Linked DNA regions of Lytechinus pictus. Each later gene encodes a partner of the first gene's protein in a complex. Links are inferred from orthologs where the notes say so. Each region holds a gene or a part of one and is shown in the gene's direction. Other genes may lie near its edges. The genes, in order: acyl carrier protein, mitochondrial-like; adrenodoxin-like protein 1, mitochondrial.

What was found.
Region 2: acyl carrier protein, mitochondrial-like (region 1) and adrenodoxin-like protein 1, mitochondrial share a complex: the UniProt entries of both Homo sapiens proteins name them as parts of the mitochondrial core iron-sulfur cluster (ISC) complex. The link is inferred for Lytechinus pictus from reciprocal best matches to the Homo sapiens genes NDUFAB1 and FDX2.

What each region holds. Positions count from the first base shown.
Region 1 is NC_087254.1:35,526,453-35,543,745, reverse strand, and holds acyl carrier protein, mitochondrial-like, read left to right. Parts: upstream 1-8,944; 5' UTR 8,945-9,042; coding exon 9,043-9,207; intron 9,208-12,466; coding exon 12,467-12,577; intron 12,578-12,984; coding exon 12,985-13,072; intron 13,073-13,593; coding exon 13,594-13,685; 3' UTR 13,686-13,706; intron 13,707-14,320; 3' UTR 14,321-15,103; downstream 15,104-17,293. UniProt on the Homo sapiens protein: Carrier of the growing fatty acid chain in fatty acid biosynthesis.
Region 2 is NC_087255.1:22,144,560-22,162,100, forward strand, and holds adrenodoxin-like protein 1, mitochondrial, read left to right. Parts: upstream 1-10,437; 5' UTR 10,438-10,462; coding exon 10,463-10,637; intron 10,638-10,917; coding exon 10,918-10,975; intron 10,976-11,964; coding exon 11,965-12,071; intron 12,072-13,236; coding exon 13,237-13,324; intron 13,325-14,037; coding exon 14,038-14,090; intron 14,091-15,503; coding exon 15,504-15,607; 3' UTR 15,608-17,226; downstream 17,227-17,541. Other genes in the region: uncharacterized protein LOC135156058, read right to left, coding at 1-76, 372-948, 1,171-1,435, 1,994-2,081, 2,521-2,688, 5,275-5,607. UniProt on the Homo sapiens protein: Electron donor, of the core iron-sulfur cluster (ISC) assembly complex, that acts to reduce the persulfide into sulfide during [2Fe-2S] clusters assembly on the scaffolding protein ISCU.

The sequences.
Region 1 (17,293 bases):
GCATTTACTAACTTCCATTACTTAGACTATTCCAAGGTTTCCTCATTCTTATGTAAAAAGAATTCTTACGTTTCTCAGTTACTGACCTCGGAATGTATAATTTTTCATCATGACCTCTGGTAGGCCCATGCACCTGACCAAAATCTGGCACTACCTCCTGGTCATACCTGTGTAATAACTTGTTTAAGTTTAAGTTTATTAAGTTTAGTTTTAGTTGTATGTTTCAATCATATCTCCTCGCGCACGGTGAAATGCCAATGTAGGAAGCTTTAGTTGAATCAATCTTTGTTCATATTATGGAAGGTTCTTTACTTCAGGTACCAACTTATAGTGGCCCTTCTTTGAACATTTTCTAGTGCTTGAATTATGTTTCTTTAAGTATGGACTCCATACTGCATGAGCATACTCCAAATGAGGTCTTATCAATGATGTGTATAGGAGTAAGAAGTTCTCCTTGTGAAGATAAACAAATAGATTCATTAGCCTATTGGCTTTATTTATCTTTGACTGAAAGTGCATGGTCCAAACTAAGCTTTGTGTCGACAATCACTCCTAAATCTTTACTGGTTTCAACTTGTGATAGATTATGTGAGGCATTATCATGTGTCATTGTATAGTCATTGATTTCATCATTTTTTTTACCTAGTACGGTAAGTACACAACATTTTATCCGGGTGGAACTTTAATAGCCACTTGTCTGCAGCGGCGTAACAGGGGTCGGTGGCCAGGGGGGGGGGGGGGGGGGGGGCAAGAGCCAAAAATTTCCCGGTCATATCATGGAACAGGCAATGGCGTCATAAGGCAAAAAATTTGAGAGGGCGATATGGCGTATCGGGCAAATATATATATATATAAGCGAGCGAGCAAAAATTTTTGACATTTTTATTGCAAAAATCAAATTTTGTGATAGATTTTGACATAATGTTAAAAAGATGATATCATATTCACCCTCCTCTTTGTCCTTTTTTCTCTCTTTTTTTGTACGCCACGGTGAACAGGATTTTTGTTATGATTGTGAGCATCAGGGCGAAGCTCTATATGCTCGAGGGGGCCGAGTATGGCGCTTCTGGCAAGAAGTAGCTCTCTATAGGTCCCGAGCGAGCGAAGCGAGCGAGATAAAAAATCACCTTTTCATGAGAATCTGTAACATGAAGATAGATTTTAACGTGATATTCAGAAAAATATAATACACTTTCCTTTCTTCTTTTTGTTTGGTTGTAGAATTTTTTGGGGCCATGGTCCAAACTCATCCATATAACAGTGCTTTATGGGTGGGGTCCAGGGCAGAGCCCCGGAACCTCTTGATATCAAAGCCATTTTAAACCTACAGATGGCCACTTATTTTAATCAAATTGCGTGTATATTTATATAGCTTTAACACAACACATAAATTAAATGCAGTTGTGTATCGTAATCATCCAAATATTGTGAGGGGCACACCATAGCAAATGTGGGAAATCAAATTTTGTAAAAATTCGCCAGCGAGCGAAGCGAGCCAGAAAAAAAAGGCCTGTTAAAATGAAATTCTAATTATGTGATAGATATTTACATCATTATAGCAAATATCATGTCATATATTTTTTTTCATTCATCTCATTTCGCTGCCTCCTTTATTTTCTTTTATTTCCCTTGGCTGTGGAACCACCCCCGGTACGCCAGTGCTTCAACGTAAAGCCTAATGCAGGAAGGGTCCATATAGGAGCCCGTTATAGAACCCATTAAAGGTTACAGATGAAGAGCCCCCACTGCACGGGGTCTTGACTCTTGGACAGAGCCTTTGGAGATTAAGCAAGTTTATGATAGACTTTCATACGACATTATGCTTATATACCATCCATTTTTCTTCCCGCTCGGCTCTCAATCCTCGGCAGCCCGGTAGTGTACGTTGCGTTATCTTGTCCCTATTCTTTATTTTCCAATATAGATTTTGGCTAATTCCATTCTGCCTTTATTTCCCGCTTTTGTTTTGTCTTTTTGTTATCTTTAATTTATTTCCCTGTCTTACTAATCATGCTAATGTATTTGTTTATCGGGGCGAATAGTTCTTTCTCACTTGTTCTTTTTTCCTTCCTTTTCCCGTTATCTTTCCGTTTTCCATTTTTTATGTTTTTTCTTAGTTTTCTTTTCCCTTTTCCTTTCCCTTTCCCCTTCCCCTTTCCCCTTCTTTCTTCTCTTTCCCTTTCTTCCACCCCCCTTTTTTTTCTTTTTCCTGTTTTTTTATTTTCCCAGTGAGCTCCGCCAGAGGGGGGGGGGCAGCTTGCCCCCCCTGCCCCCCGCCTGTTACGCCACTGCTTGTCTGACCTTGAAACAAGACGATCTAAGTCCGCTTGTAATAACTCAGCATCTTTGTCATTTTTACATGCTTGTATAACTTGGTGTCGTCCGCAAATAAAGAATAGTACTTGACAAAATCTGATCTGCCTGTGGCAGCTCATTAATGTACATTACAAAAAGCAGGGGTCAGACATTCCCTTGCAGTATTTCGCTGCATGGTTACATTAACCCAGAAATTAATGTCCAAAACTTTGAGCTCGCGATTCGCGCTCGCAACATCTCGCAAGGTTGCTATTTTAAGAGCCATGACCGATTAAAATGAGAGTTTTACAACTTCAGGGGCCCGTTTCATAAGGGATTTGCAACTATTGTAACTTTGCCATAATGGCAACTACCATGGTAACATGCAGGGCTCAGCAGTCAATCACAATCATGGTTACCATGGTAGTTGCCATTATGGCAAAGTTACAATAGTTGCAAGTCCTGTATGAAACGGGCCCCTGATCTTACATTTTTTTCCAAACCGCTCGCTCGGAACGAGTCGCCGGAAAAAGCCTTCAGAGATCATGCAATCAGAAATAACTTCAAAAAGGCTTTGCTCAACATAATTACTATACAACACACAAGTACTTCACGCAGATGATAAAATCATTGAGAAAATATCTGATTAAATTGCACCAAAACACGCATTTTGACATATAGGCTCAGTGCCCTTTTTTGGGATTTGCCCCACAAACGAAAATATATCGAAGTTCCCATAACCTTTTTTTTTTTAAATTTATAATGTAAGACTGAAAATACCGTCTTTTCTGCCTGACTACCTCACTTTAATACATGATGATGGTGATTCGCATATATTCCAAGGATTTAAAATAAATCCAAATCGACTGTGAATATATATTGACCAGCCGAATGATGATTTAAATATAATATCTAAAAGATTTGAATTTAAATCTTTTGATATTTAAAAGTTAAAAATAAATTCGGCTGGTCGAGTATTCACAGCCGATCTGGATTTATTATAAATCCTTGGAATGTAGAGTGTGGAGATCGAGAGGAGCCGGCGTCACTCACGGACTGACCCATAATGCGTGTAAAAAAAAAAATTGAAAAAGGGGTCGATTACGTTCCTATTCATTTTTTAGCACTCGATTGGCGGACAAAGGAAAATATGAATATGACTTATTATTATTATCATTTTTATTTTTATTATTATTATATATAGTTATTATTATTATTACTATTATTATCATTATTGTGAAGCGTTGTGGCCCAGTGGATTAGTCTCCGGACTTTGAAACAGCTAAGGGTCGTGGATCCCAGCCATGGCGTAATTTTGATTTATCCACATTGTGCTACACTCGACCCAGGTGAGGTGAATGGGTACCCGGTATGATTTATTCCTTGAACGCTTTAGCGCCTACAGCCGGGGTAATAATGATACCAAGTATCAAAGCGCAGTTGAGTACATGTATATGACATAGTAACTGCACTATAAATGGACATATTATTATTACTATTATCATTATTTTTATTATTATTATTATTATTATCATTTTAATTATTATTATTATACTGTATTATTGTTGTTGTTGCCGATCCTATCATTATTTTAATCATTGTTTATTATTCATTCATTTGATTAATCATTCATTCGATTTTTTTTTACTATTTTTTTTTCTCGGCGAGAGTTGATTTGTGATACTAGTATTTTCCAACATAACGGTAATGGTATATTTCTGTGGTTTGAATTACCGGGCCTAGTGGGGTCCGGACAGCCCGACCACCGGACAGCCCGACCCTGGACAGCCCGACCCGCTACCCTGGACAACTCGTCCCGGTCGAGTTGTCCAGGGTTGGCTCTGAATCGGACAACTCGACCACTTGAATTCTTCTTCAACATTTCATGAAATAATATTTCAAACTTTACTTCAAAAGTATTTCCCCGCATAATCCATGTTTCTACAATACATTCTCGACAGAAAAACCCAGCTACGCCACTGATGAGATCGAGTCAAATTGCCTTCGGGATTGCATCATTTCCAAGAGGTTCTCAGTAATATTCCTGAGATGATGAAAAGGATGTTGGTGGCGATGATGTTTGTGATGATGATAATGATGAACATTGGTGATGACGGTGACGATGATGTTGGTGATGATGATGCTTGCTGATGATGGTGATTATAGTGTGATACGATGATAATGATGACAATAATGATGGATGATGTTGTGATGATGATGGTGGCGATGATGGTGATGTGATGATGAAGATAATGGTGATGGTTATGATGGCGATTATGAGGGTGATGATAGTGGTGATGGCGATGATGATAAGGACTGGATGAGAATGATGCTGGTAGTGATGTTGGTGTAATGATGATGGTGGTGATGGCAATGATTGTGATATTGATGGTGGCGATGATAGAGACGATGATGTTGAATGGTAATGTGATGATGGTGATTAAGATAATGATGGCAATGATGATAGCGATAGTGATTATGGTGATGATAAGTGATGATAATGATGGCGATGAATATAGCGATAGCGATGATAATTAAGATAATGGTGATGATAATGATGGCGATAGTGATTATAGAGATGATGATGATGGTGGTGATGGCACTGATTGTGACGATCGTGATGGTGGCGATGATTTTGGTGGTGATGTTTCTAAAAGGGATGGTCCGGGCTGAAAATATTTATATCTTAATACATAGAGTAGAATTCACTGGATAACAAAATTATTGAAGTTTAAAGTTTAGCAATATTTTGTGAAAACAGTCATGAATATTCATTAGGTGGGCTGATGATGTCACATCCCACTTTCCGTTTTCTTATGTTATTACTTAAAATCATTTTTTCATTATTTCATTGTCTCCCTTATAATGTAATAAGTTGCAGCAATACATTTCTAGTTCTTGGAGGAAAAAAAATTGAATAAGCCTTACTTCATATAATAAAATACAAAAGAACAAGTGGGGATGTGACATCATCAGCCCACCTAATGAATATGCATGACGACTGTTTTCACAAAATATTGCTAAACTTTAAACTTCAATAACTTTGTTATCCGATTTGATGGAATTTTCGGCATTTTGCTCTGTGAATTCTACTCTATTTATCAAGCTATAATTATTTTCAACTCGGACCATCCGTTTAAGATCATTCTTTCATTTCCATCCCTCCTCTCCATCCCCTCATCTCAATTCCTCTAATCTCCATCGCCTCCTCAACTCTACTCTCATCTTCATCTCTATCCCTCTCATCTCCATCCTTCCTCTCATAATTTCCATCCCTCTCATCATATTTTCCTCTCATCTCCGTCCTTTCATCTCCATGCCTCCTCTCATCATCTCTATCCCTCTCATCTCCATCCTTCCTTTCATCTCCATGTCTCCTCTCATCTCTATCCCTCTCATCTCCATGCCTCCTCTCATCTCTATCCCTCTCATCTCCATCCTTCCTCTCATAATTTTCATCCCTCTCTATTCCTCTCATCTCCATCCTTCCTCTCATAATTTCCATCCCTCTCATCTCCATCCTTCCTTTCATCTCCATGCCTCCTCTCATCTCCATCCCCTCATCATCTCCATCCTTCCTCTCATCATCTCCAACCCACTTCTCATAACCATCCTTTTCATATCATCGTCTCCATCCCTCCAATTTCAACTTCATCTCTTCCAAAATGATCAGCACTTAAAGGTAAAATGTTCAGCAGAAATAAAATTCACAAGTAATAGAACCCAATATTCACAATACTTTTTTTTTTGTAAAGTAGACTGTTTATTTTCTATGTAACAATATGATAAACTTGATCACAACTAAAATTAATTAGTAACACATAATTTTCTGTTATATCTTACAAACAGTATAGCAACACATAACAAAACACGTTCTTGCTATGCTGTAAAAAAACACACATAAAGAAAATCAAATAGTGCACCATTCCTGGTATATTTGTTTACTATTTACATATTCACAAATTCATGTGTGCCCAGTCATATTTTTGCCTCTTGGTATAATTAGCAATTGCCAGTCCAACTTCAGACAAATAATTCCTGCTATACTTCCTTAAAGCCTGGTATATTTGTATATTATTTGTACATATCAACAAATTCATGTGTGCCCATAGTTATATTTGTTATCGTAACTCCAATTGAGAACAATATCCTCTGCTTTGGGTGTCGATGTAACAATATGGACAATCTTAAAACTACAATAGTAACCATACAAATTAACATGCATTAATTAATTGCCCCTTTGGTTTAAGAATATACAACATTTCAAAATGTATTGCCTATTTGATTACCATGACAACTAACTTAACCCTAACTTACGTGGATGGCTCTTTCAAGGACAAGTCCACCCCAGGAAAATGCTGACTTAAATACATAGAGAAAAATCAAAATAGCATAGGGCTGAAAATTTCATCAAAATCGGATGTAAAATAAGAAAGTTATGACATTTTAAATTTTCGTTTATTTTTCACAAAACAGTGATATGCACAAATAGGTGAGTCAGTCGATGATGTCCATCACTCACTATTTCTCTTGTTTTTATTGTTGGAATTATACAATATTTCATTTTTTATAGATTTGACAATAAAGACCAACTTGACTGAACCATATTAGTATTAAACAATAATTCCACATGTTCAAGGAGGAATTAATTGTTGTATCACTTGACAATGAGAATTAGAATATTTCATATAATAAAATACAAAAGAAATAGTGTGTGGATAACGTCTCAGTCTCATTATTTGCATACCAGTCAGGATGTGCATATAACTGTTTTGTGAAATTAAGCAAAACTTTAAAATGTCATAACTTTCCTATTTAACATCTGATTTTAATGAAATTTTCAGTGTTATGCTTATTGGATTTTTCTCTTTTTATTCAAATCAACTTTTTGTTGGAGTGGACTTGTCTTTTCAGCACTTCCTTATAATTTTGTTTTATAAATAAAAACAAGCTAAGTACAGTTTGCAATCCATGTTGTCTCAACTAAGTCAAACAGTTGGAAAGATAAAATGAAGTATAAAATGAATTATTGACAAAATTAATATTTGAAGTTCTGCAGTCTGCACCTCTTCTGATAAAGCAAATCAGACCAAAAATAAGTAAAATTTTTGTTCAATTCAAACAATGTATAAAAGAAAAAAAAGTAAATTTATTGTTGAATTCAATTGCCCTTTCTTTCTTTTAAAGAATTTGAAGAAAAAAAATTGAACTTTGATATGCCTGCATGAAGTGCACAAAAATTGATTTATTGTATCTAAAAAGCTGTATTTACCTCATCGATCAAGGGACTGCCGCTCTGATGCCCAAGTCATTGGAACTCGGTATTATTTCTGCTCGTGAAAGAAATGGAAAGACCATCGCATGTCGAGTATGAAACCTCTTCTCATCCCGGGTGTAGGTGGTTGGTACCAGCCCAAGTGCTGGTATCCTCCAGAAGACCCGTTGTTTCCAATGGAAGTTGCATTAAAAAAAAGTTGTGACAGTACAAACCGACAGGTAAAAAATGAGACACATGTTTTTCGATAACGAAAGGCAAGTTTTAGATTTTGATTAAAATTTTTTAAGTTTTTGAATTTCGGCAGAATACATTTCTTTTTTCAATAAACTTTTCCGTTTTGATATCAAAACTAAGTTTTTCAATTTTGATAATTATAATTACCCAATCTATGTCAGATGTGCACCCCCATTCTGCTCCTCTAAACTTAGAAAACAATAAAAATTTGTAATACCGCGGTAGTTATTTAAGAACAAAAATAAACAATAAAGAGTAAAAAAAGACACTTTCCTACAAAAAATTGTAAACTTCATAACTTACATACTGACACATTTTCAAATCTATTTCCTTAATTTGTTTATATGTTGGTTGGAAGCACCCCCCTGGCCTAAAGGCCTCCAAAAAGGGGCGTCAAGGATGGTTTTGGGAAGCACATTCCGACCACGCATTCACTGTCCTATACTCCTATAATCAGCTTAGTGACATTAAAAAAAACTTTTTAATAAGTGGAAGAAGTGTGAAAATACAAAAATAGCACTCTCGCCATTGGAATATGTCAAGAGACGGAAAATTTTACTAAAATAAGTAAGTTTGACCTCGCATAGCTAGTTGAGCCGAGTGCCACACTCAGTCACAATCACAGCACAGCCGGTCGCCCAGCAGGCCTGCGAGGCGAAGCACCGCATCGGGTGTCCTTTCCAGGTGAACTATCTCAAAAGTTTGCATTAAGTATCAGTTTTGTGAAATGGAATAACTTTAAATAAGGAGAGGAAATGTGAAAATGGAATATGAAAATACAAAATAGCACACCCTCATCATTAAAATATGTCAAGTGACGGAAAAATCAACTCAAATTTGCAGAATTTGAACACAGCTCGCCGGCGGTATCGGATTATCAATTTATCAAGATACCGGTAATCTCGTTGCAAGGGAACTCTCTTTATTTTCTTTCAAAATAGCTCAAAATGCACTGAAATGTCAAATTTTCTGTCGATAATGTATTGTAGAAACATGGATTATGCGGGGAAATACTTTTGAAGTAAAGTTTGAAATATTATATCATGAAATGTTGAAGAAGAATTCAAGTGGTCGAGATCGAGTTGTCCGATTCAGAGCCAACCCTGGACAACTCGACCGGGACGAGTTGTCCAGGGTAGCGGGTCGGGCTGTCCAGGGTCGGGCTGTCCGGTGGTCGGGCTGTCCCGGAACCGGCCTAGTTGGCTTACCATAACTCCTTACATGTTACGGCAATCATGGCGTCGCTGTGCAGATTTCGTGTTCTCTCAAGTATTCAGAATTTTGCCAGAATTCAGCATATCAGAAGTATTGCAACCCGAAGTTCATCATTTGCTGCTTTGCAACAGGGTTTTGGGAATTCAAGATGCAATCAGAATAATCTTAAACAGAGAATTACAGAGGTAAATATCGCCACAAACCGGGCGACAAGGGCACAGTCACAGACACAGTTCTAATTCTATCATGCAGCTGGCCTTAGCTAGCTAGTGTGTTTCTGCATCTGCACAGCCACAGAGTGGCACAGGATCGGGAGCTCGGGAGCGGCACGGCATTGGAAATGGCTATGCTGCAAGCAGTGCAGTGTGCATGGAGTTTGGAAGAGAGCGTCAGCATGTTCCATGTCTACTCAAAACTAGGCCTAGTTAGGCAGATATCCAAAGGGAGGCGTGTCTGTGCTGTGCGGGCCTATAGAGTACTAATAATAGACTGATACAGACAGTGATTTTCCGTTTCAAAAAATGGTCTTTTTTGTTTCTTGATCTAAAAATGGAAATTCCATTTTGTCACTGAAAGTATGTACATGTATGATGGGGTGACCCCAATAGTTTGCGCACATTTTAAAAATCATCAAGAAGTTGATTTTCATTCAAAAATTTCTCACAGCTCTCACAAAATTAATAAAAATCATGAATACCAAACGGAAGGCAAGATCCTAAAAGTCAATTCGCTTGACGGAATTATAAAGTAGGTCAAGGGTTTCGCTGGTATCGCGATCTCTTCTACGGCGATTGACTAGTGCGTGCTCGGCTGAAAAAGTGTCACAAAAAAGTGCGACCTTAATTTGCGCACGATTGTTTTGCAGACAAAGCCAAAGGTTACAATTGTATAAGATGCAGGTTAAAATGCCATAAATTTGGTTGGTATCACATTTTACTTATTTGGAGACTTCCGCTTGCAAACTGGCAAATTCTTGATGCTTGTCGAGAAGGTCGGATTTTCTCGGAGCGGACGCAAATGTAACAAGATTTGCCGATATTTTGCCAATCTTTTCATTAATAGAGACCTTACCTTCAAGAAAATTACTATACTGGGTAATTTTAAGTCGCTCTTTCTGTTGGTGATATCAATTTTTCAAAATATTAATTAGATATTGAGGTATTCGCCCGTGCGCAAAATTAGGTAACGCGCAAATTAAGGTCACACTACCATACACAGCAAAAACCTGAATTCCATTTTATTTTGCAAAGGTGAATTCCATGAATTTTTACATGAAAAATATAAGAACCAAATGGAATTGCCGTTTTATTTACCAGTAGAGGCGCTGTTGCTGGTCCAAAAATTGGGATTGTCCCAGAAAACAAGGATATCCTCATAAACCAAGACAAATCATGTCTTGATAAAATGAGACTGTCCTTGCTATAGGGACGTTTTTTTTTCACTTCCCCCTACGGGACAAAGACATCAATTACGGGAATTGAGAGTGCTAAAAATAGATTCAGTGACCTCAATTTCCCCCAGTTCACCGTCTATTTTACATGACTTGCCTTCTTCCAATAATATTGTTATGAATCCTGATATGTTTACATTGACTAGCGCACTTGATTGGTGTCGGCACTTGACAGGTGAATGAACTTTCCTAGATTTCTTGTGTGAAGAAATCTGTAAAAACTGAGACATTCCCTGTAAACTGGGACGATCCCAGTTTTCTGACTAGCGCCTCTACTTTTTACCGGTAAAACAAAATCACCGTCCCAAGACTCGGGCCTAGTCTAGATCTAGGCCTAATGTTAGTTTGTCCAGGGGTCCGTTGCAGAAAGAGTTGCGTTTAAACGCAAGTCAAAATATCAATCGCAAGTCCCAAATGCGCGCTGTTGATTGGTTGAAAATCAAATTGCGCATGATTTTTGAAGTTGCGTTTGATTGCAAATCTTTCTGCAACGGGCCCCTGGGCTCCGTCTTACAAAGAGTTACGGTTGATCCAATCAAACGTAACTCTATGGAAATCCATCAGTGTCATAATTTTTTCTATAGATTGGCACAACGTCCTTTGTAAACAAAGAGAAGCACAGTGAATTTCTAAGAAAACAATGAATACATGAATATACATCATAGAAAATATTTTGAAGAAACATGTACAGTATTTTAGATGTTGATGTTGCTGGCCGTCCATAGTTGCGACTGATTGGATCAATCTTAACTCTTTGTAAGACGGGGCCCTGGTCACTACGTTGCTGGCTGCGTTGACTTGATTTTAAAAAGGAAAAGAAGATAAGAAGGAAAGAAAGAGGAGGAAAAAAAAGAGCAACCAAGACAAATATAACTGTATATGAAGAAGGAATATGGTTTGGTTTGAGGGCTGAAGTTTTTGCATTGCCCAATAAAAAGAGCAGTAGGCATGGTAGGGTCTATAAGTTGCTCGCCGGCAGCGCGGCTGGCTTTGCCTTTTTAATCTGCTGTCCTTTGCTGTTGGGCATGTCTGGTGCAAAAAATAAAGAAATTGAACTTGAGAGTTTGTCATGGCATAGTTCCCAAACTTATCATCATCCGTGAAAGCACACTCCACTAGGTTGGTGTATCATCGTACTTGTAGAATTGTGCAGGATGTACAGTGACTGTGGAAGATGTATTCTATGTGCGGTTAAAGAAACTTAGTCTGCGCAGTGCCCATTGTCTGTGCATTTGATTGTTCTTTTTCATCTGTTGATGGGTAACGTTTTTTGCAGGAAAATCGTGGTCTGTATTCTTAAAATAATAAAAGTAGCAACTTATAATTTTGTGGAGTTTTAAGGAAATTGATGTTTAATCTTAAGTTTGAATTTAAGATGAACACACATGGTGTCCCCAGCTTTATAAATCTCAAGATCAATATGTTCATTAGAAAATCTTTCAGAAATTACCCATCCCCCCTCAAAAAAAAAAAAACACGAACGGGCTATTCTGTAGTATTACCAGAGATGCCAATTGCCAACTGTTCCTTTTTTTTTAAATGAAAAAATACTGCAGGTTTTATTAAAATACCCTTTCCTCAAAATTATCAAATACATGTCTGCAGGAGAAATTTGAAAATTCTCTCTTACCCCCAATTCATGTTTTTATGCCTGGAAATACTGAAAAGTAAGGGGTTGGCAACTTGGCATCCCTGCATCACACATTTAAAAGAAAATTAAACCTTTAGATTGGATCAACTTAGCTTGTCACTTGTGTGAAAAAAACAAGCTCCAGTGGGACTATTTGTTATTTTAACAAGTTTTATGAATCGAACCCCTGATACAGACCAGAATGCTTGTGATACTTCTTGTCCTCCATTAGTCTTATCCTCCATCCCTTCTATTTTGACAATGTGAGAAAAAAAGCATCATGACAAGAAGTTTTTCCATTGTATAGTGAGATGATAGGATCCGAGATCCGTTAAAAGACTGATTGTCCATGATTGTCTTTCAGCTGAACAGGCCAGTACGTCATTATGGATCAGCTGCCGAGATGACCATATCCAGTATCCAGGAAAGATGTACGCTAGTCCTTAAACTATTTGATAAGGTGGACCCAGATAAGGTAATCTTAGTGTTGAAAAGGGTTAAGCAAGACAATTTTTATTTTATTTTTCATAAATTCCAAACTGGATTGATATTAGACATTTGATTACCAAGGACTGAAATATGGAGCAAAACTGAGAAGAAAATGACTTTTCATTACATATTTGAAATAGTGAAAATTCATTCTACAGAATAAAACTGTTTTGAAAAATAGATGTACAGATGTGAACCAAATATGTTTCTGAGCTGGAAAGATTATTTGATCCCTATTATGTTTTCATTACGAATGAAAATATTTCTAGAACTGACATCTTTTTTTTTTACATACTGGACTCAACTGGAGTACTTTATGTAATATTCTTGATTGCTTGCTTTTCTGTGTAAGGTCTATATATTCACATATGTAATCGCCTTTTATTTCCCAAGGTGACACTTGATGCCAAATTTGCAGAAGATCTTGGATTGGATAGTTTAGATGCAGTGGAGATTATCATGGCAATGGAGGATGAGTTTGGTAAGTTAGCCCATAGATCTGGTGGTTCATAAAAGTCACTTTGTCCTAATGGAATCCTTTAGAATGACAAATCTATTCAACTACATGGGGAAATAAAAAGACAAATATGTTGTGTTGTACAATCTACTTAAAATGGCTTGATTTAGGCAAATATTTAGATGAGTTGGGCGATTTATACAACACTTTTTATTTGAAAAAACAAACAAAATCAGTTGGCAATCGGTTTCATGTTTTTTAAAAAGTTTATAAAGTTGCCCCCTTCCCTTTTCCATCTCACCGTACCTCTTTCTGAACATTATCATGAAAGCATCACCTCTGAATTCGGTTTATATTTGATTGCAGTTATTTCTTACACAAACTTACTCAAAATTAATCAAGTAAGTACGAAGCGAGGAATATCTGGTCAAAATATAATACAAAAATTAAGATTACTTTTAGATTCTCCATACAGGTATGACCATGTAGTGATGTCTTTGAAACCCTTTTAATTAAAAGATCTATTTATGAAATATATTTGACAGGAGTTGAGATCCCAGATGAGACTGCAGAGAAGCTCTTGAATCTGAAGGATGTTGTCGAGTGTCTAGCTGATAGACTGGATGTAGCTCACTAACATTCAATATCATTGTTTTGTGTAAGTATCAAGTTTTCATGATTCAATTTTTTAATTACAAGAGGATCAATACCATGTGTGAATTCAGGGCTAGAATTAATTCAAACCACAAAGGCCATGGCTTTGAATGCCCTATTGATTGGCTTTGGATATTTTTGTGTACTGTTTTCCATTTGTTAGCACTTTAATATAGTAATGTGTTATATAGAAAAGTGGCCATGACCTAAAAATATCAAATTTGAAGGCCTGCAGATGTCTTTCATGTTTCAGGATTATTGTTTTTCTCAGAATAATCTGAGATTTTGTCCATACACTACATAGCAGATGCTAATTGACAAGGTTGGAAAAATTGTTAAGTCTTACGACCAGACCCATTGGGATATTGGGAGTTTATATTACAGTTGACTTTGATAGATGAATCAAAAAGAATGATGTGAGAGGTTTACATCAGTAATTATTCCTTCTGTAATTGTTTTGTTCCCTCTCTCTACTTGCCTCTCCTTCTCTATCTTTTATTCCTCCCTCCCATTTCCACTCTGCATATAAATAATGCACTCCATTCTCAATTGGAAAAATTTGCTAATTTTTGTTGAATTATTCCTCTTATCCCTTCCCTTGTTTTACTTTCCTTTCAGATTATACAGATTTATTGTATCATTGGCCATGACCAAGTAAATGCAGTGAAGGCTCGAGGATGCCCCCCTTCACTTCGATCACACAGGGCTGTAGACTGGACTAGTATTCCCATCATGCAATGGATGCATCGTCAGGATATCTTCATGTCCAGTCCACGTGAATTGCTAATCTGCTCTGGCATTCATGAATTTTATTTGTATTAAAATGTCAAAAGTCACATGTATATCATTCTGATAGATCTCTACAATAATCTACATACTGATGAGCTCCTTGATTTTCTAGCTTTATTGAAATGCTATTCCCACTTTGAGGTTTTGTTTCTCCTTTAAAATTTTATATCGCGTCACCTCAAACATCTACCTGAAAAGCTGAGAAATGTGATTTGTGTATTATGTATAGAATTAAAAAACCCAGAATAATTGTGCTATGAAAGTGCATCCACCCAATACAAGAATGACTCCTTTGGGTTTTTGTATTGGTTGATAAATCCTATGTATTATCTTCCCACCATCAGGCGTTCCCATGTAATAACACTGAAAATAATTATCTGGAATGTAGATACGAGCTGTTCAAGTAAGGGTTGGAGATTCCGTTAAAGAATCTGGTTCAATCCAGAATGAATAGGTTGGGTCTGGTTCTTAATCTGGCTTGGTCTGGCTGGTGTTGGATAAAGCCAGTTACCCTTGCACTTCTCGAACACCTACACGTGTGAATAAATGGTTGTAATTTGATTTGATCAGAGTATTTGGTAGCAATTAAAACGTTTTGACGACACCAGTGAATGATTTCTGTTTTGCTTTCTGTTAACCAAGGTGATGCATCAAAGATAGTTATTGTTTGTGGGCTGTCAAAACCTTTCATCTCAGCATTTAATTAGCTATGAATAAGCTGGATTTCAGAATTATAGCAATGATGCTAACCTCACATGGTCTGAAAATTTAACCCTTTCCAGGTAAAAGGAGGATGCCGCTTCATGAATTTCATAAATCTAAACTGGCACCTTTTCTTAGCTGTCCTGAAAATGTTAACATTTTGAATATGAGGTTTTGATAGCCGACCAACACAAAAAAAATATGCCATGCACCCTGCAGGCGGCTGCTCTGTTGCGTATGGATATTATCTTTTTCAGTAGTTCAGCAGAATGAGCAAGCAGCATGCCGGGGGTATGCCTCGAATTTATCTGGCCTCCCAGATGAAGAGGAGAGAGAGAGATGGAGATTGGAGTCTTCATGAAACCATTGAGGGACTGCAGGGGTTATTCACATAGGAAAGAAAGCATATGTGAAAAGACAGTCAAGGCAGTTGCTGAAAGAGATTGAGAGATGGAGAGAGAGAGCAGGGGCCTGTTGCAGAAAGAGTGGCTATCAAATGGAACTTCAGTAATTGACCGCAACCTGAGCCAATCAGACGCACGTATTGAGGACTTGCGCTGGATTATTATCTCCTGCAATGGGCTCCAGATGTGAAATGGATAGAGAGAGAGAAGGGTAGGCAAGAGGTGAGAGTGGAAAGATAGTGTGAAGAGAAAGACTAAAGGTGATGGAGAGCCACAGGGCCCATTGTAAATAGAGTAGCGTTTAAACGGAACTAAAACAATATCAATCGCAAGTCCCTAATACACGCATTTCATTGGTTGAAAGTCGAGTTGCATTTGATTACAACTCTTTCTGCAACAGGCCCTCAGGTCAGAGAATCTGGTCAAGAGAAGGGGATGGTGAGACAGATAGAATAGCTATTTCTATATTATGGTAGTGAGAAAGGAGAGAAACAAATACATGTACAAGGTGTGAAGAAGGAAGAACTATTATTTCAGTTTATTTAACAGGATGGTCACATATACACAATGACAAATAATAATTTAGAAAAACAGTCAACTGAACTACATGAAATTATTCAGAGAGAGGAAGATAGTTTACCAAGTGGTTCAAAATTTCAAAGGAGATAAAGTTTAACCCTATCCAGCCTGGGGTGGGGGGGATAAAACAGCCCCCTGAACATTTTTTTATTACGAAAAGATCACACTGCGATGACCTTTTTCCTTCAAGTCTTGTGAAACTTTTAAGACCAAATTTGCAATGTGGGGGTACATGGTTTCAAAGTTATGTAACATTGTGTAAGTGCATGTAAGACCCAAAATTGTTCAAAAACATGATTTCATATACAAATCCAAAGTAAATTTTGTATGTAGCCAAAATTCATAAATGTATCATTATTTATATTTTTAATGATTAAAAGCAATGGATTTTATGTTATATATAAATTAAATAGTGTTTCCAACAATTTCCATCGAAAAAACATTGAAAAACAAAGTTTAAATTAAAAAGAAATACACAAGATATTTAAAAAAAACAATGAAATACATGAGGAAAAAAAATTGATATTGCCATTTTTCATACATGCATTTGATAACAATCCTAAAAAGAGTATCCAGACCAAAATCTAGTAGTTTTGTGACCATATTCAAAGATTTACAGCCAAATTATGATTTTATGCATTAATTAGCATAATTAATCAAAAAATAAATTTGAATAACTTTGGTACAATTGAATTGCAGAGATAACGTCATGGGTGGTGTGCGTGTAAATTTTTGTCAAGTATGAGATGTGGTGGGGGGGTTGGGGGTGTTTTGTGCCCTCCTGGGCTATATGCAATTTCAAAATAGCACGGTTACATAGGGTTAATACAGATTTTTCACAAAAATAGGATAAAGTGATGCTCTCTCTCTGGATAGTCCCTACTTTTTAACTGGTGACAGTTTGCGGGTGTGTAAATGCCAATACAATGATGGAATGAGAGAGGAGATTGCATTCCCTCCCCCCCCCCCCCCCACAAAAAAAAAGAAAATATTACAAAAAAAAGAGGAAGTAGACTACTCTGGAGAATTTCACAAAAGAATATATCGGACATTATATCTGACAAGTCCCGGTTTATCTGACAGTTACCATAGAAACAGTGTTTCTCAGCCAATCAAA
Region 2 (17,541 bases), on another chromosome or scaffold:
CCTTGTCATCAAGAAAGTTGACAACTCTCTTGAAACCTTCCAACTCCATGTGGTACGAACCCTTCACCTCATTACTCTATGAAAAAACAAAATACAAAATATAAATCAACATTGCATAACACACAATAGTGATAACATGAAATAACAGTTTGGGGCTGGAACATCAAAATAGCCTTTAAATTTAATCAATTTAAATTGGCAGACATGAATATAATAAGTAACCAAGACAAGAGGAATTGTGTTTCAACTTAACCCGTCTTGGCAAAAATGCAGATTCTTTATATTTACTTTCTATTTCATGAAATAAAACTAGGCACTTGTGGTCATATGTATCATGGGAACATGAACTAAGGACAGAAAATCAGACCCACCTGAACCAGCTGAAAATCAACAATCTTGTTGACATTCAATTCTAGGGCAGTGTATACCCCAAACTTTGCAGAATGTCCTGGACTGTCCGCTCTCCCATCTCCCCCAATGGTGAGTGGCAGACCCCGTTCACACAGTTCAGTGAGCAGATGGTTCTGTTGCTTCTGCCATTGATTGGTGATAGCTGGATGCAAAACTTTCTGCTGGTGTCGGAAGAAAGTCCTGCGTGTGTGCGTTGCTACGTTAAAATGCTTCAGCACTCGCAGCGACTCACTGGGGCTCCCGCCAGCAAACAGGATTGCCGCTGACAGCTGGAGGTTGCCAGCAGGATAGGGGCCTATCCATGGCTGGCTCTCCCATGTTGTCGACTTCTGGTCACAAGACAGGCACTCCCTTGTCACAGAAAGGAGGCTTCCAACTTCCCTCTTTACAAGGGACACATTTGCAGACTTGCAGGATGGGCAAAACTGCAACAGCTCCAAAAGCTTAGACTCGTATACAATGTATTTTTTTTCCTTGTGTGGAGGAATACCTTGGGCTGGGGCTTCCCATGTGGCCTTTTTGCTTGATCGCCTTTTCCTGTATTTGAAATAAAAGACAAAAAATAAAATTGTTTAGAAATACAAAAAAAATCCTAAAAGACGATGTAAGAATTTCATCAGCCTGCTGTTGCTGTAATATATAAGAAAAATTATCTAAAATGCTTTATTTATTAAATCACTATGATATGTGTCTGAGGTTTTTCTCAAAAGAATTTACAGTACTAGTATTGATTTTGAACAGGATAATGAAAGAACTAACCGTTTTCTCTGTCTTTTTTGTGGCTTGGCAATAACACGCTCATCTGATGATGAAGATGAAGATGATGGTGGTTTGTATCCAGGTGAGGAGGGTTCTGCGGCGTCACTTTCTGGAGATGATAACCTTTCTTCCTCCGCTTCCTTCGCATCAACTTTCTCTTCTGGTATATCCCCTTTGTCAAAAGAGGTCCCTCTTGAAATAAAGGCTGGAATATCGGGTGGTATCTGTGAACCTGTGTTCTGCAGAAGTACAACCCTTTGGGACCCTGAAAATGTCCATGTATATTTTACTTTTACTTTGGTTGTGAAACAAATTTTCAGACATAGGGGAACACAACATATCTGCAATCCAGGGTGTAAGTTATCTGTGGCCCGGACTACTGCGTAGGACTTATTCTTCAAGTGGAATTGCAACATTTACACCTTCAAATTGGTACCCGTAACTTATCTTTCTAGCAACATTGTGAATAATATGTGACATACTGAGCATGACTCCTGTTAATGGTTTTGGTACTGCGCATATGCAAATCAGCAAAATCGCTTGCAAGTATCCAAAAATATACAAGGAACACAGAATGATGCAGTATTCTATTAAATGTAAATGTATAATAGCTATAGATGTTCATGACTATCATAGCCAAGTTAATTAAACTACATGACACTGATTCTGTCAGATTGGGAATGAATATCAGTAATTCAATATTTATAGCCTCAATAAATATATTATCTAGAGCATATGTTTACAAAAACTTTCCACAACTTAGCAGCACCAGCCTCAAAAGGAAAATTGACAATATAGATAAACAGATGAAAAATAAACTTACGTTTAACTCTTGTTGCTACAGAGACCTGTATCCCAACAGAGGTTGTATGGCCATGCTGCTGAAATTCCATAGCTGGATCTTTGAACGGCTGTTAATTGGATATCAATACAGTAGCCAAAATATGCTGAATACATGTACATACCACTACCAGTGACATGCAAAAAAATTATATACATAAATAAAGTATGGTTTCCAGCACAAATACTAATCAAAACTACACCTGAATCAATTTTGGGATAAACTGTAATTTCAGTCACAGCCAGGTATGTTAAGACTTGGAAGACAAGTATTATGAGTTTTTCATGAACCATATGTCTTGTTTGAATCACATGCATAAAGGTTTTGGTTTCTTTGGAAAGAAAAAAATGTCAATATAATTTACATGTATCCTAAATTCTGCTAAATTCATTGTGGTTGATAATTTACTCAATATTATCCCTTATTTGCTGCTAAATTACCTTTTATGTTTGTTTGCTTTCATGTCTTTTCACGGGGAGGGGGTGCACAATTTGAAAACAAATTTATACCTGTTCATCAAAGGATTCTTCAGACTCAGATGAATGTTCATCTGTCCATTGGCTGCATCCTGGCTCATCAGTGTCTGATGGACTTTCCATTGATGCAGGCTCCACTGCTGACCCTTGCTCCTCAGCATCCCTAGCTTCAACAGATGTTGACAGCAATTCATCCAGCATCTGTGAGAATAATTTAAATAAAAAATGAGAGAAAAATATACACAATAGCCATGTGTTCTTATTTCTAAAATAATAAACTTAAGGAATTAATAACATATTAACATGCTAATTTCAGCCTTAAGTTTGGGCTGTGTAACATGTATTTTTTTTAATATGAAATAAACCATGATTGAATTGAATGGAATTAGAAATCATCTTCCTTCAGATCTATTTTTCATTCAGACCTCAGTTAGATTTCACTACCTACTTTATGATGTATGGCAGTGAGTACAAACTGTTGCAAAGTCACCCTACATAATTTCATATATGCATTGTATGGAGTAATCATTGGTGGGATAAGAAAGTCCAAATATTACATTTTAAATTTTCAGTACGAGAAATTAGATGTATGCATATTTATGCAAATTGGAGCACCTAATTTGCTTAATTGGTAAAATGAGCATTAAGTATTTATTACAATTATTAAAAATCATAGAAAATAAAAAAAGTGAGAAATTAAACATTGGTGGGACATGGAACCTCTAACGCTCTAACATTTTATTATTGAGGGCTATCTATATTAATATGCAAATTAAGTAATGTCAAAAGACAAAATGATCTATATGTAATACTTTGGGGACATTTTAAAACTTATTTCCCGGAGTACAATACTTGCATTATTGCATCTTTAGGCAGACTTTCTGACTTATCAAGTATAAAAATGTAATACCACGAAAATAATCAAAAATACAAATTCGTTTTTTTTTCAAATAAAATTGTCAATTCATTCATTCCACTGTATCTTCAACCATGACAATTGAGATGTTTCATTGTATTTATATCTCATTCAACCAAATAACTTAATTTAATTATATTTTGCACATTGTATCTCTACATTAATCCCTGTATTGTAATTATTAAATCAATTCAGTTATGTTGTATTTGCTATCACAAAGATAATTTTCATGCCTTATTGTATATCCAAATCAATTCTTATAGAGCCCAATAGTTCATCCCATTTTCATTATTTCTGTACACTCTTTAAAAAAATTTTATTTCTATCAAAAAAAATTTCTTCTAAAAAATATAGATCTACATGTATAGCTCCATGGTATAAACTATTTCTACAATCATTATTGTGAATCTTTTAACTCTGTATATTATTGCATGAACAATTTTGTCCAAACTTATAATATCATGTTGTTTAGAAGGTTCCTTTCATGCAGATTTGTTTACCCTTCTCATGACTTTGTAAAACAAACACTGAATTGAATTCATTTCTTTTCCATTAAAATATACAAAATCAAGACAAAGAAACATTACAAAACATAAAAATGAGACAATATACAATATGATATTAGGCCTGGAATCTGGATCTGGAATAAAAAAAAAAACTTTTTGGCTTTTTAAAAAAAAGGTAAAAATAATCTAACGTTTTAATTCCCAGGGTAGCCACTTCAGTTAGGAAACTGTTCTACCACCGGGCCCTGCATAACATAATAATTAATACCTGAATGTAATTGTAATTATTATCCTTCTCCAATCTAAATGCTGAGTGCCTAGTATTTTAGTAAGGCAGGAGGTCCCTTTTTTAATGACTCGGTCGGGTATCGAACCCAAGACCTCCCGTTCATGAGGCAGGCGCTTTACCACTAGAGCCACCATACCCCCAAAAGAGTTTGTATATTTCCTTACTTGAGAAATGAACCACAATGGCACAAACAACTGAAACAAGAAAACTTTTAGACCTAACGTTGGGCCTACTGTACCTCTTCACAGCACTAGCCACGTACTACAATGTAGATCCTGTCTTGAAATACAACTCACAATTAATAGGATTTCTAATTCGCAACAGAAATTTAGAATTCGTAGACCTGTTTCCAATGTCATGAATGTGGAGCCTGGACTCTTGAGGAAAGTTTGAGGATCACTTCAATTTCCTTTTTTATTTTCGAGGCGTATCCTATGGCAAGTTCCCCCAAGTCTACGCACACGCGTATCAGCGCAATTCTAGTAAAAGAAGATACGCAACGAGCACGAGCTCTACACATGCAATACCTAGCCATAGCCTAGGTCTACAGGCTGACAGGTATTTAAAAAAAAATCTGACTCAAAATGATGGATTTAGGGCATTTCATGTGACGGCATCAAAATGCAGCCTTTCTCATCAAAATCCCCGAATCGTGTGCAAAGATTGAGTGCGCAGACATGGGCTCGGGGTAGGCCTACCATTTTTTGACAAATCTGAAAATTACAGTAGGCCTACGAGGTTTTTCCAAGAAAATCCTATAGGCCTATTTTCTTTCATTTTTTTAATGAGAAATTTAGTACAATTACTAAAATACTAATAATAATATAAGGAACATTATTAACGGAAAGATTTTGTTAATAAATAATAAGAAGAAATTCATGTTAATCTAAACTCAAATTGTTTGATGCGCAGACTTGGGGCCCACCATCATAAACACCTTCAAAATAAAAAATAAATAAAATAAGGAAATTGACGTGATCCTCACACTTTCCGTCGTTGAACTTGAACTGACTGACCACAACAATTGCAAAGATAAACTTTAAACAAAGTCTATTACTAATAGATAATATGCTCACCCTCATTTTCTTTCGTTTGTCCGCTGCTGTCCGTGACCCACTCCTCTTTACTTGCATTGATGACCCACTCTTTATTTTAGGCACAGCGTCGGGCTTCAGCCGCCGGGTCCTCTTCATGCCAAAAGCAGCATGCAACCCGTCATCAAAATCCGCATCTTCGAAGTGGCTACTGCACACCACGCTCCAGTCACTGGGGCCGCTCCAATTTGCTCGGGTCAACTTCACTTTCGAGACCCATATTCTGCGTAAATTTGCATCTTTGGGAAACAAATGCAAGCTGGCACCATCCTTCGTAGTGTTGCTGCAACCTCCGACGATGCATCTCGCCGGCATCTTGATATTATCGCAAATATCACAAATGTACAAAACTTTTCCAAAAAGAACTCGGTAAACTTTCTCAACAATACAGCGCTACAATACGTAAACATAATAGACGAAAACTTTTTACGTGCGCGATGATCGAGTTTGCAGAGCTGCCAGATTCCCTTGATGACGTATAGTCACGTGACTAGCGAGCTCGAGAGTTTTCGATCTTTTTCTGGAGGCGGGGCTTATGAGCGTGAGAAACTATGAAATTAACTTCTAAAACCAGCAATATCTTATTAATCCTAGATAAATAAATCATATTAATAATGTTAAAATTCTTAGAAAAACAATTGAAAACTAATAAGAGCAAAATATAGTTGCATGACTCAGAACCTTTAATTAACTATTTATTGCAGGGAACCCATACTAACAAGCTTTGCTTTCCAGTGGGTTCCCTTTTTTTCATTTCTGTATATTATACTTTTGTGTTTTGCTATACATTGTAACTTTTGTTAAATTTTGGAATGAAAAAGAATAAATGCAATCAATCAATATATGATTAAAAAGAAGTAAACATTTTTTCCCCTTTGTTTTGTCAATCTGACCCAAAACAAATATAAAATTTAGAAGAGAGATAGAGAGAAGAAGAAGTCCCACCACCAAGAATAAACTTAGACAAGGGGGGAAGGGAAAGGAAAAGATGGAGTAAATGTGATATTATTTTTTAAACAATCTATTGCAAAATTAGCTTTTCTTATAGAAAGAGGGGGACAAATTTTGTTCACTCGCTCGCTTCAATCGCTTTCTTCTTTTTTTTGACAGAAATTTTGCTCTATATATGCCATGCTTGGCCCCTCAAAGTTTCTGGCTCATCATGCCATTGACATAACCCATTTGGATATGACAAAATTGGAGACTGTGTTCAAGTTTACCAAATCTTTTCAGAATATCGTTAAGACTTAAACATTCTTGTTGGCCAAAGAAAATAATACAAGGAAAATCCTAATGGAATAGAAATCAACCTTGTTATTTAGAGTTAGCTATGTTTAAAGTATGAAAATTGTTGTCAAAATTGCAGTCAGATGTAAAAATTATTCTTGTCATCAAAGCACTATTATCTTGATCACGACCATTATTATTTACTGTCATTATCATCATATGATTACAACACATTACCAATACATAATGCTATTTTTCATAACTGATGTATTCTTTGTTTGAATTTCTTGATAATGGTGACAATTACAATTGATGACACTGCTAGTACACTTACTACTGCTGCTGCTACTGTTACTGGTGATTGGTAGTATTGACCATTATTGTTATTAAATATATATAAATAAAAAAACAATTGAAACATTTATAATTACTTATTTAAAACAAATGAAAGTACAAAATACAAAATGCCTTGAAAAAGCCTTGAAAATGCCTTGAAAATGCCTTAAAATTTCAAGGCTCAAAATCCTCAAGGCCAAGGCCCTCTCAAAGCCAATGCTTTGAAAAAGTAGCTAGGCATTAAGGCGCCTTTAAAGAAGGCCAAGGCCGAGCATCAAGGCACTACAACACTGATTAGTACTAGGCATTAATTAGACAGGTCCAGATTTGAGGTAAAGTTAATGCGCTAGCCTAAGCTAGCCCTACCCTAGCACATGTCTTGCCATTAATGGCAGCTAGTTTATTAAGTGTTTAAGAATTTGATATATATATATAGAGATCTAAGCTTATAAGACCTATGTAACTATGTAAGGGTACCGGTAATCTGACGATGCTAATTCATTCTGAGCAACGTGAATGCTTGCTTATGATCGGCACTGGTACTTGGTCGAGGCCAAGTCCACGCGCATGCGTACTCTCAATCCGAAGACTCAAGTCATGAATATTCATATGTTGGTCCAGAACTCGGTGGGAAAAATAATTTCGCGGGCCGGGGCGGGGCCAGGGCTGGGACTTGTTTTGTTGTTTTCTATAGGCCATCAGACTTTGAGGAAGTATACAAGGAATTTATGTACATTGAATAAAAAAAGTCATGACACGTACACAGAATTAAACTCATACGATCAAAAAGAACATCGCAATAAAGCTTTGTTTTGTACCGTACGTTGTCATGATCTCCCGCTAGATCTACATCAATCTCCAGAAACAATATCGGAAAATCTTGCCACTTTTTAAAGACTTAGGCCTAAAGTTAATCATTGCATTATTCTCTTAAGCTGCTCGATGTCGGAAAAGTTAACTTGTATTCTACCCAATCCTTATTTTCATCAATAATATAGGCTTCCGTTTATAGTTCAAAAAATAAATCCAGATCGTTCAATTTATTAATAAGTTTTTGTTTTACTGTGAAATTTGAGAAGAAAAAAATACCAGAGTGGTCTAATTAAATTAACATTTCCATGCAGAAATTGTGTGTGAATATGATTCAGAAAGAAATAATAGAGATTAGAATCAACTACTAGTAAATTTATTCTATAATATGTTGAAATATTCAGTCGTTTTAAAACGGCAATCACTGACGCTTAAATAAGTATTACTATAATTATATCTTTCAATTCGTTATAACAATGATGATGATGAGGAGGATAATTATTATGATGATACTCTATACACGATTACCCAACGGGACAACGTAACTGTTACCACCTACCCCCAACGTACATAGCAAACAACCCTTTTGTCTTTTTTTGGACCGGTGTATACTATTGGAATTCCAGACCCAACGACTTTAAAGAATCTCCAAGCATTAAACACAACCTTAAAAAGATGCTTAATTTATTCAATACTGCACCAAACAAGTCAAACCAACATATAATCAAAACTCAGTAAAAGTATCAATGTTTAATTTACTATTAATAAATTTGTCAAATATTATTCTAGATAATGATACTTACATATGCCTAACGACCTGTCGGCACCTGTCGGCACCTGCCTTGTTCCTCTTTTCATTTTCAGTTTTACTTTCACCACACTCCCCTCCCTCTTTCCTTCATTTGCTTCCCTTTTTCTCCTTACTATAATTTTATAAATACTATTGCCTTTTCTTTACTTTTTTCATATTTATCATTATTATTGTTGTTGTTGTTTTTATCATTATAATTACTATTCAAATTACTTTCTCTCAATTTTATAGTCGCTTTATTCGCCTTTCTTTAGTTTTAAGTCCGTCTCCGTTATATATTGTTTTGTTAATCAGGTATTGAAACTTAGTTATAAAGGCTTGCCTCTCACAAGCTTTGCTTTTCTTGGCAAGTCCCTCCGTTTTGTTCCATATACTCTTTATAGCCAAAATAATTGCAGCTCACTTTATTTCCTGTTTAATTTATCTTAAATACGTGTATGTAATATCATTGAACTATATCTGTTATTTTGCATTGTAACTTTGATTGCATTTTCTTTATTTTGTTGAACGGAAAAGAATACAAAACTAAATCTAATATAAATGAGGATGATGATGATGGTGATGGTGATTGTGATTTTGATGATGATGATGATGGTGAAGTGATGATGGTGATGATGATGATGATAATAATAACTAGGCATATTTAAGTGCGACTCTAATAGTCACACTAAATCTTTGTGAAACACCCCGAGGTATAAAAGGGAACTTGCACCCACCCCCTGATGAAAAATTTGTAGTAAAAATACTCGAAGAATACTACTACTACTACTACTACTACTACTACTACTTCTACTACTACTTCTACTTCTACTTCTACTTCTACTACTACTATACTACAAATACTACTACTAGGGGTGGGGTGGCTGCACGGCTCCAATCTTAGTTTAGCCCCCCCCCCTCTTTATAAGCCATGCCATCTATAAAATTATCTTTCTTTCTTTCTCTCTCTCTCTCTCTCTCTTTCTATCTATTTATGTATCTCTTCCTTCTTACATCTGATAGGCAATAGCCCTAGTAAGATTTTGATATAATAGGTGAAATGCAAATGTACTAAAGTAATATGTTCTCATTCTTTTATTGTTTCCTCATTTAATCTCATGTATATCTGGTAATTATGTTTGGGGCAGTTCTGGTATCCTGATATCTACACAAAATTTACATACACCTTTATATTACAAGGAGAATATGGGCCTATAATGTCATTGCATTCACTGTTGGGCTATATATAATACAGGTAGGATATGCTGTATACATCCATATAGTGAATTATGAGTAACATTGAAATGGGTCACTGCATAGAAAATAGGAATTTTTAATGCATTTCTTTGTGCTAGTGTGAGTGTAGAGATATAAAAGAAAAGCAAAGTAGCTATTAAAAAAAATAAAATTCATATAGGTCATATGATATAGGTGCCACGAGCCTAATTACATCAGGAGGGCTAAAGATATTCGTTCGACCCAACCCATTCGATTTTTTTTCAATTTATATTGCTGATTGACAAAAGTATATGAATATGATTCAAAATCTATCACTGATTCTAGAAATGGTAACTACTGAACTTCCTTTGCCCAAATTGGGAAGATATATCAATGATTTGGAACTATTTTTTGACTGGCGGAAGAATTGGGGCTATTTTACTGTTTCAGTTGATGAATTTGATCCATAGAGATGTATACTAATATATATCTCTATGATTTGATCCCATCATAGTTATCTTCATAAATGGCGATTTATTTTTAAAATGAGCTGGCTACGATACCCTTCTCTGGTCAGATATGGAATGTCAGATATAATCCTATCCAAAGGTAGTAAACATTCGACCCTCTAATTTCACATTTATTTTTATGAATTTTTATTAAGTGCCATTTTAACACACAAGTCTATGGGGAATGTTTTACGCGCGTGACCCCCAAGCCCCCAAGCCAAGCGCAGCATGCATAGACAAATAAATACGTCCCTCTTCGGCGAACTCGTTTAGTTTCAAGATGGCGCTGCCCATGAAGCATTTTGTCTGTCAGTTTCATAAGATTTTACCAGTTATTATACGCTCGTTGTACACAAAACCAGCGAATATAACTCACTTTCAATCGATCAGAAGCAATAGCCACTCGAAGATCACCCGTTCTGTGGTTGGTTCACGACATATCCATGCTTCTATTGGTACGTATTTCTGCCTTTTTTGTATGAAAGTTCGATCATGTCCCAACCATAGGAATTGGTGTTGGGTTTAGTACGAACTTTCACCTTTTTATTCCAGTGCATAGATTATCGTGAAATAATGAGCGAAAGGTCAAATACCCATCAAATGTTATCATGTCATTTTAACTGAGAATATTATAAGTAGACTAGTATGACAGTAACTAAAAGAAAAGTCATGCTTCATTTAAAAAACATTGTTGTTGAATGTTGTTTTTCTTTTTGTGTTTTTGTAATTTAATAGCTGGTGGACTAAGGCACGGCGATTATGAGTATCAAGACCCAAAGTCTCCTGAGGATATGTAAGTTTACCCAAATAAGTATTTATTTATTTACTTCCTTAGGCTTTTTACAGAAATCATCCCATTCCAGCAGACTAATGCCATTCCTTGGCATGGGATGGGTTGATAAAATCATCTATTTCTTATATAAAATTCTAAATGAGAGATTCATGTACCGGGTACATTTAATAATAAAAATGATAGAATAATGACAGATTGTCTATACTTTAGTTTAAGGACAAGAACTCTACAGCTAACTCATGATTAAGAATAAGAGGCATATTGTTCAATAAGTTAGCCCATCACATAAAAATAAGAGCCTTGCCCTTGAACTAGTTATCTTTTCTTTACCAAAACAAAACACATTAAGCAAAGGCAACAAATTAACTTTACAGCATGAAGATCAGTAACAAAAGCAACAACAATTAAAAAAGTATATGATACACTTGCTCACTGCAACCATCCTGCCTGTGGGGAATCTACATGGTGACTTCCAGACTTTAGTCTTCCAGTCTGAATTTAGACTTTTTAAACTTCTTTTCAGTCATAGAAAAAATGGGGTCATCATTATAGATGATTTTCAGACATTTTCATCACTTTCAAGTGGCATCATTTCACAGATGAATATGAATAGCCTATTAACTCCCAAGACCGATTGCATCATTATTTTTAGTATGAACAAATTCATTTTACTCATTTTTTTAAACATTTCTTTTGCAAGAGAAATGTCTAGATGAAAATTTTGATTGCTGCAACTGTTTCCAATTATTATAAACAAAATCAAAATGTCAATATGTGACATGGTATTTTTATGTTCAAATGATTATTAATCAAATAATGAATAGTGAATATGAACAAACATGTAATTGTAAGTATGAATTTTAATTTATCAACACACTCCATTCACTTGACATGAACATTTTGTTTTACAATATATACAGTGAGAACATAGAATGTAATGTTAGATGCTTAGAATAATATAAAATATAATGTTTTCTCTATCCTTGTAGAGTGAATATCACCTATGTGACAAAAGACGATGAGAGGATAGAAGTGAAAGGAAAGGTTGGAGACAATGTCATGTATTTGGCACACAGATATGGTATTGAAATAGAAGGTGAGATTTTGATGCTTTTTTTAAGGGGAAGTACATCCTGATGATAGGTTGGTTTTAATAAAAGCAGAAAAAAATAAGAAAATAGTGGTTAGGGTTGATGGAAATCCATCAAGAAATAAAAGAGTTATGAAGTTTTTAAGCTTTTGATTTATGAATTCATATGCGAGCAGATCTCCCATAATTTGTGTCTATTTTTTAATGGGTTATGATGAGTAAAAATATATTTTTTAAGGGTTATATGAAATGATGATATATCCATTGCAAAAATAAAATCCCCTTCAATTTTTTGTTTAGAAAATGGCATTTTGGGATATTTATATCACATGACATATGGAGTAGCTGCTTGTTTGTGACTTCACAAAAATAATTTTTTTTTCTACTTTTATTAAAACCAACTAATTGACAGGGTTTAGTTCCCCTTTAATTAAAATATAGAGATGAGATTGTATTTCTGTTTATGCAGGGCTTGCCTATCATTGTAATTGTAAATTTGATAGAAAATTTATCCTTTAGGAGTTTGAATATTTCCAGTAACTCATTTGAACCATTAATGATGAGAGTGTGCCATCATAAATGTATCATATAAGAGTCAAATTGATGAAATATTGCAGGAAATTCGTTATGAGACTATGAAATACAATAATTTTTTTTTTCAAAAGAACACAATTGATTTTTTTTCTATGGGTAGGACTTGGACCTAAATATAAATGTCAGTTGTGGTAACGATCTCTAAATGACTTTTTATAGAATCCAATTTTAATGACCACCAAAGTGTCTGTTTGTATGAATAAAAAATTTGTGCCAAAGGATTCTAGAAGAAATTGTGTAATTGCTGAGAAATAAGCAAAATAAGCGCGGATTCTTACACTTCTGTCGGGTCTTTATTCCAGCAATAATAATATACACTGTCCCACGTGTGCCTATCTGTGTTGACGATCTTCAGTGTGATCGTTTTTCAGCTTAGATTTTATGATTTCACAAAGTTCAGTTTATGTTACTGTACCAGATCTAGATCCATGATGATATAGTAATACTTAACCTTGGTTTTAAAGACTTTCTCACAAAATCAGTGTTTTACTGCAACTACTTTCATTTAGCTTTAAGGGCTAAACCCTCTCCTACTTGCAGAATGTCAGTTTAATTTTCCCTTTGACCTTTCTATCAGGTGCCTGTGAAGCTTCTCTTGCTTGCTGTACGTGTCATGTTATCTTACCAGATTCATATTATGATATGCTACCTGAATCAACGGAAGAGTAAGTTGACAATATTCTAACCTCGCTCTTCCATACATTAGTATTAATGAATTTATATTATAAATGGATATAGTTTCGGGGTACCCAAGAGTTCTTTTTAATCTTTTGTGTTCAATAGATCTGTGTGATCTGATATTTCTTGCTTACTTTTTGAATAGTAATTATTTATGACAACCTAAAAGTTTACAAGAAATGACGACTTTTCATAAAATCAGATATAGCATCAAAGCAAGAGGTATTACATGCAAACTTGTGTACTTCAGCACTGCGATTTGCAAGTATAGGGTTACCTATACTAAATAGAAATATTCATATCTCTAAAGGCCACTTCATGCTTTCTTAATGTAATTCCTGCAATGGCCAGTATTTTGTATCAGCTTGATATATATATATATATATATATATATGTATATATATATATATATACAAAATACTACTGGTAATGATTTTTTTTTTCTCTGTCAAGGAAAGAAAAATAATTTATGAAATAATTGAAGAGTGGAATTTGTGTATGTTCATCATATTTCATTTTCTGAAGAATAAATCAAAACTAGTTTAAGTGAAATTTTCTTTGAATTTTCTTCAATTATTTTATTCATCATATATTAGCTGTTTTGCAGACACAATATAATTACTACTGGCAAGGTTAGTAGATATATACAAAATATAGCTAATTAGCTATTATATTCATGTTATGTTATTTTTTTTTTCAGGGAGGAAGACATGTTGGATCTGGCCCCTTTTCTAACATCAACATCAAGATTAAGTAAGTTGCCAACAATCACCTTTAGTAGTATAGTATAGAAAAATGAGTCTTCAAAGTTTGAAAGGCAGAAATTAACCATGATTTGTTTTTAAAAAGATCAGGGCTACAAGGTCCTACTTGTCACCTGTGTCTGTGATATATTATAAGAATTAAGCCCAGGAAAAAAATTGCACCCAAAAATCATTCTTAAGTGATTGAAAAAATACACTAATATGTGTTGTATTAATATCTCAAGGAGATCTAGTAAATTATGTTTTTTTTTCAGTCACAGCTATCTTGAAAGTGTCTGCATGAAGTTTATTTTTCCTGGGTGTTTTTTCATCATAAATGAAAAATCATTATTTGTTTTAAATAAGACCCTTGATATTAGATATATTTTCAATTTATTGGTACAAGATACTAGTATTTAAAGGACAAGTCCACCCCACCATAAAGTTAATTTTAATAAAAGGAGAAAAATCCAACAAGCAAAACACTGAAAATTTCATCAAAATTGGATGTAAAATAAGGAAGTTATGACATTTTAAAGTTTTGCTTTATTTCACAAAAAACAGTTATATACACATCCTGGACGGTATGCAAATTGACAGACTGGTGACGTCTCCCACTCACTATTTCTTTTGTATTTTATTATATGAAATATGAAAAATTCTAATTTTCTCCCCATTGTCTTGTGAAACAAAATTTTATTACTCCCTGAACATGTGGAATTACCATTATTTTAACAGTTTATAGTTAAGTCAAGTTGGTCATTATTGTAAAATCTGTAAAAATTGAAATATTGTATAGTTCAAACAATAAAAAACAAAAGAAATAGTGAGTGATGGACATCATCGACTCTCTCATTTGCATATCGCCGAGTTGTGCGTTTAACTGTTTTGTGAAAAATAAGCGAAACTTAACAACGTCATAACTTTCTTATTTTTCATCCGATTTTGATGAAATTTGCTGCGTTATGTTTGTTTTATTTTTCTCTATCGATTCAAATCAACAATTTTCTGGGGTGGACTTGGCCTTTAAGTGTGGCCTTATATTTTCTGACCATTTTCTTATTCTTTCCTATTTCATTATCATATAAATGACAATTTGTCCACGACCTGAGTGCTTGAGTTTGAAGAAAGCAGTATTATGTGGGAGATATCATTATCAGAAGTTCTTAGTCAAAGTGAATTGAATTGAAAATATTTATTGTCCACTAAGGAAGTTCATTTCACATTACAAAAGCACATTATAAATACATAGTGCTGCAAAAATTACAATTTTCGTTCAGAATACAAACATATTTATCACTTTTGAAATGAAATTTTCCCTTGAAAACATTTTTGTATGTTGCTAATTCTTTCTTTCTTTTTTTCTTTTTTTCTTTCTTTCTTTCGTTATTTCATTCTTCCTTTCTTTCTTTCACCACCACAGGCTGTCAAATTATTCTAAGCAAAGAGCTGGAGGGGATGGAGGTCCAGCTTCCGAAAGCAACAAGGAATTTCTATGTTGATGGTCATGTACCCCAGCCTCATTGACCTTGACTTCTTGTGTGACCTTGAGGCTGATGTTTAAAGGTCGTTCAGGGTTCATGTAAACAGGGCAGGATGCAAAGGGTACTCCTTTTTTAACACATTGACTTTTACACTGATAGTGTCCTGGTGTATCTGGGTGTATTAAGAACAATTCCCCAAACATGCACACATTCTGGTTTTTAACAGTGTTGGACCTCATCTATGGGATCATTGATGGAGTATTTTTCTCTGTTCTGCTAAAATTGTTTTGATGGCTCCATCCTGCATTTTGTCCTTCATGCACAATATTCTCAATGGCAATATCTATGTGGATGGCATCACAGCAAAAAGGCAGAAAGTGCATCTTGAGCGATTATGATACCGGTACCTAAATTTTTACCAGAAATGGCGTGATTAAGTTACAATTTATTATAACATGCCTGCCAGCTGCTCTCTTTGATCAGAATGATCTGAGTTTTATACCTGAAAAAGAAGCACTCTTCTTTGAATGGATGGATAAATGAACAAATGAATGGATGGATGAATGTAAAAATGAATGAGTGATTAAATGAATAGATGAATGAATGTGTTATTGGTTTTGTTTATATCTCTTAATGAAGGTTTAAGTGTCGTATTGGTCAGACATGTACCCTCGTTCATTTCAGATTTAATGGTCAGCAAGTGTAATGATAGAAGAATACATATATTTTCAAATTTATTTTAAAAGTTCAACCATAAAGATGATATGGCATTTTAGTAATGATAGTGATCCTGATTTTAATATCCATAGTATTGATACTCAGGGAAAACAATCTGGTAAATCTCTTCTCAAATATTTCGTAAAAAGCCTTTCTTAATACATGTATTCCCATGATATACTTTGCCATCCTACAGGAATTTGATGATCTCTGTATTAAGGACGTTCCACAGTTATGTTTGTGCGCATTATGATCTGCGCATAGTTTACACTCTGCGCGCTGACGTCACAATGGATGAACAGGTGATTAATTAGCTGCGGGTATGAGCTGATTTTTCTCTTCTTCTGCACTTAAACTGCAGAACCGATGTGTTATTTCATGAAGCTAAAAAGTGGAATTATTCCACGGACGATTAAAAAAAAATTCTCTACAATTTCAAAATACTTTACTCTGCAGTGCTGCCAAGAATCACGAATATTACCCCGAGTTTGAATAAATGGTAGAGTGGTTTTGATTTTTTCTTCACATAGATACAAAGTATTCGGTGCATTTTTGGTGTTTTAAAAAGCACATTTGCTCTAATAAAAATGCTGATAGTTTAAAAACAAGCACATGAACCCCTATTTTTTAATGTTTGTACCTCTTAGGTATACCTTCCTTTACAACTCTGCAAATTTTGGTGAAAATGACATGGATTTTGAATAAAGTGCAGCATTTATTGTACATTTGTAGTTTGTTACTGAAATTTCACATTTTTTAGATTGGGATTTTGTTATCTTTTACGCCATTTTTAAGAACTGGCAGTGCTGTTAAACTTAAAATTGCAAACAAATAGCACTATAGATAAATTCTCCATTCTAACGATACAATTATTAACTCTCTTGCAAAATTTGATGACTTTTTCATGTATTTTGACTGAGTAATAAAGGTTTAAACTCATTGTAGTAATCTTGGGCGGTCTAAAAATGCAAAATTCTTTTGAATGCGCAATTTTTAAGAACATCAATTTAGGTGAACTTTGAAGCTCTATAGCATAAAATCAAGCACATGGACCTATGTTAATTTTTGCATATTTCGAATATTAAGGTTCTAAAGTATCTATGTGCAAAGTTTGGTGAAAATGACATGGATTTCACTTTAACTGTGGAACATCCTTAAAGGGATGGTCTGGGCTGAAAATATTACTATCTAAATAAATAGAGTAAAATTCACAGAGCAAAATGCTGAAAATTTCATCAAACTCGGATAACAAATAACGAA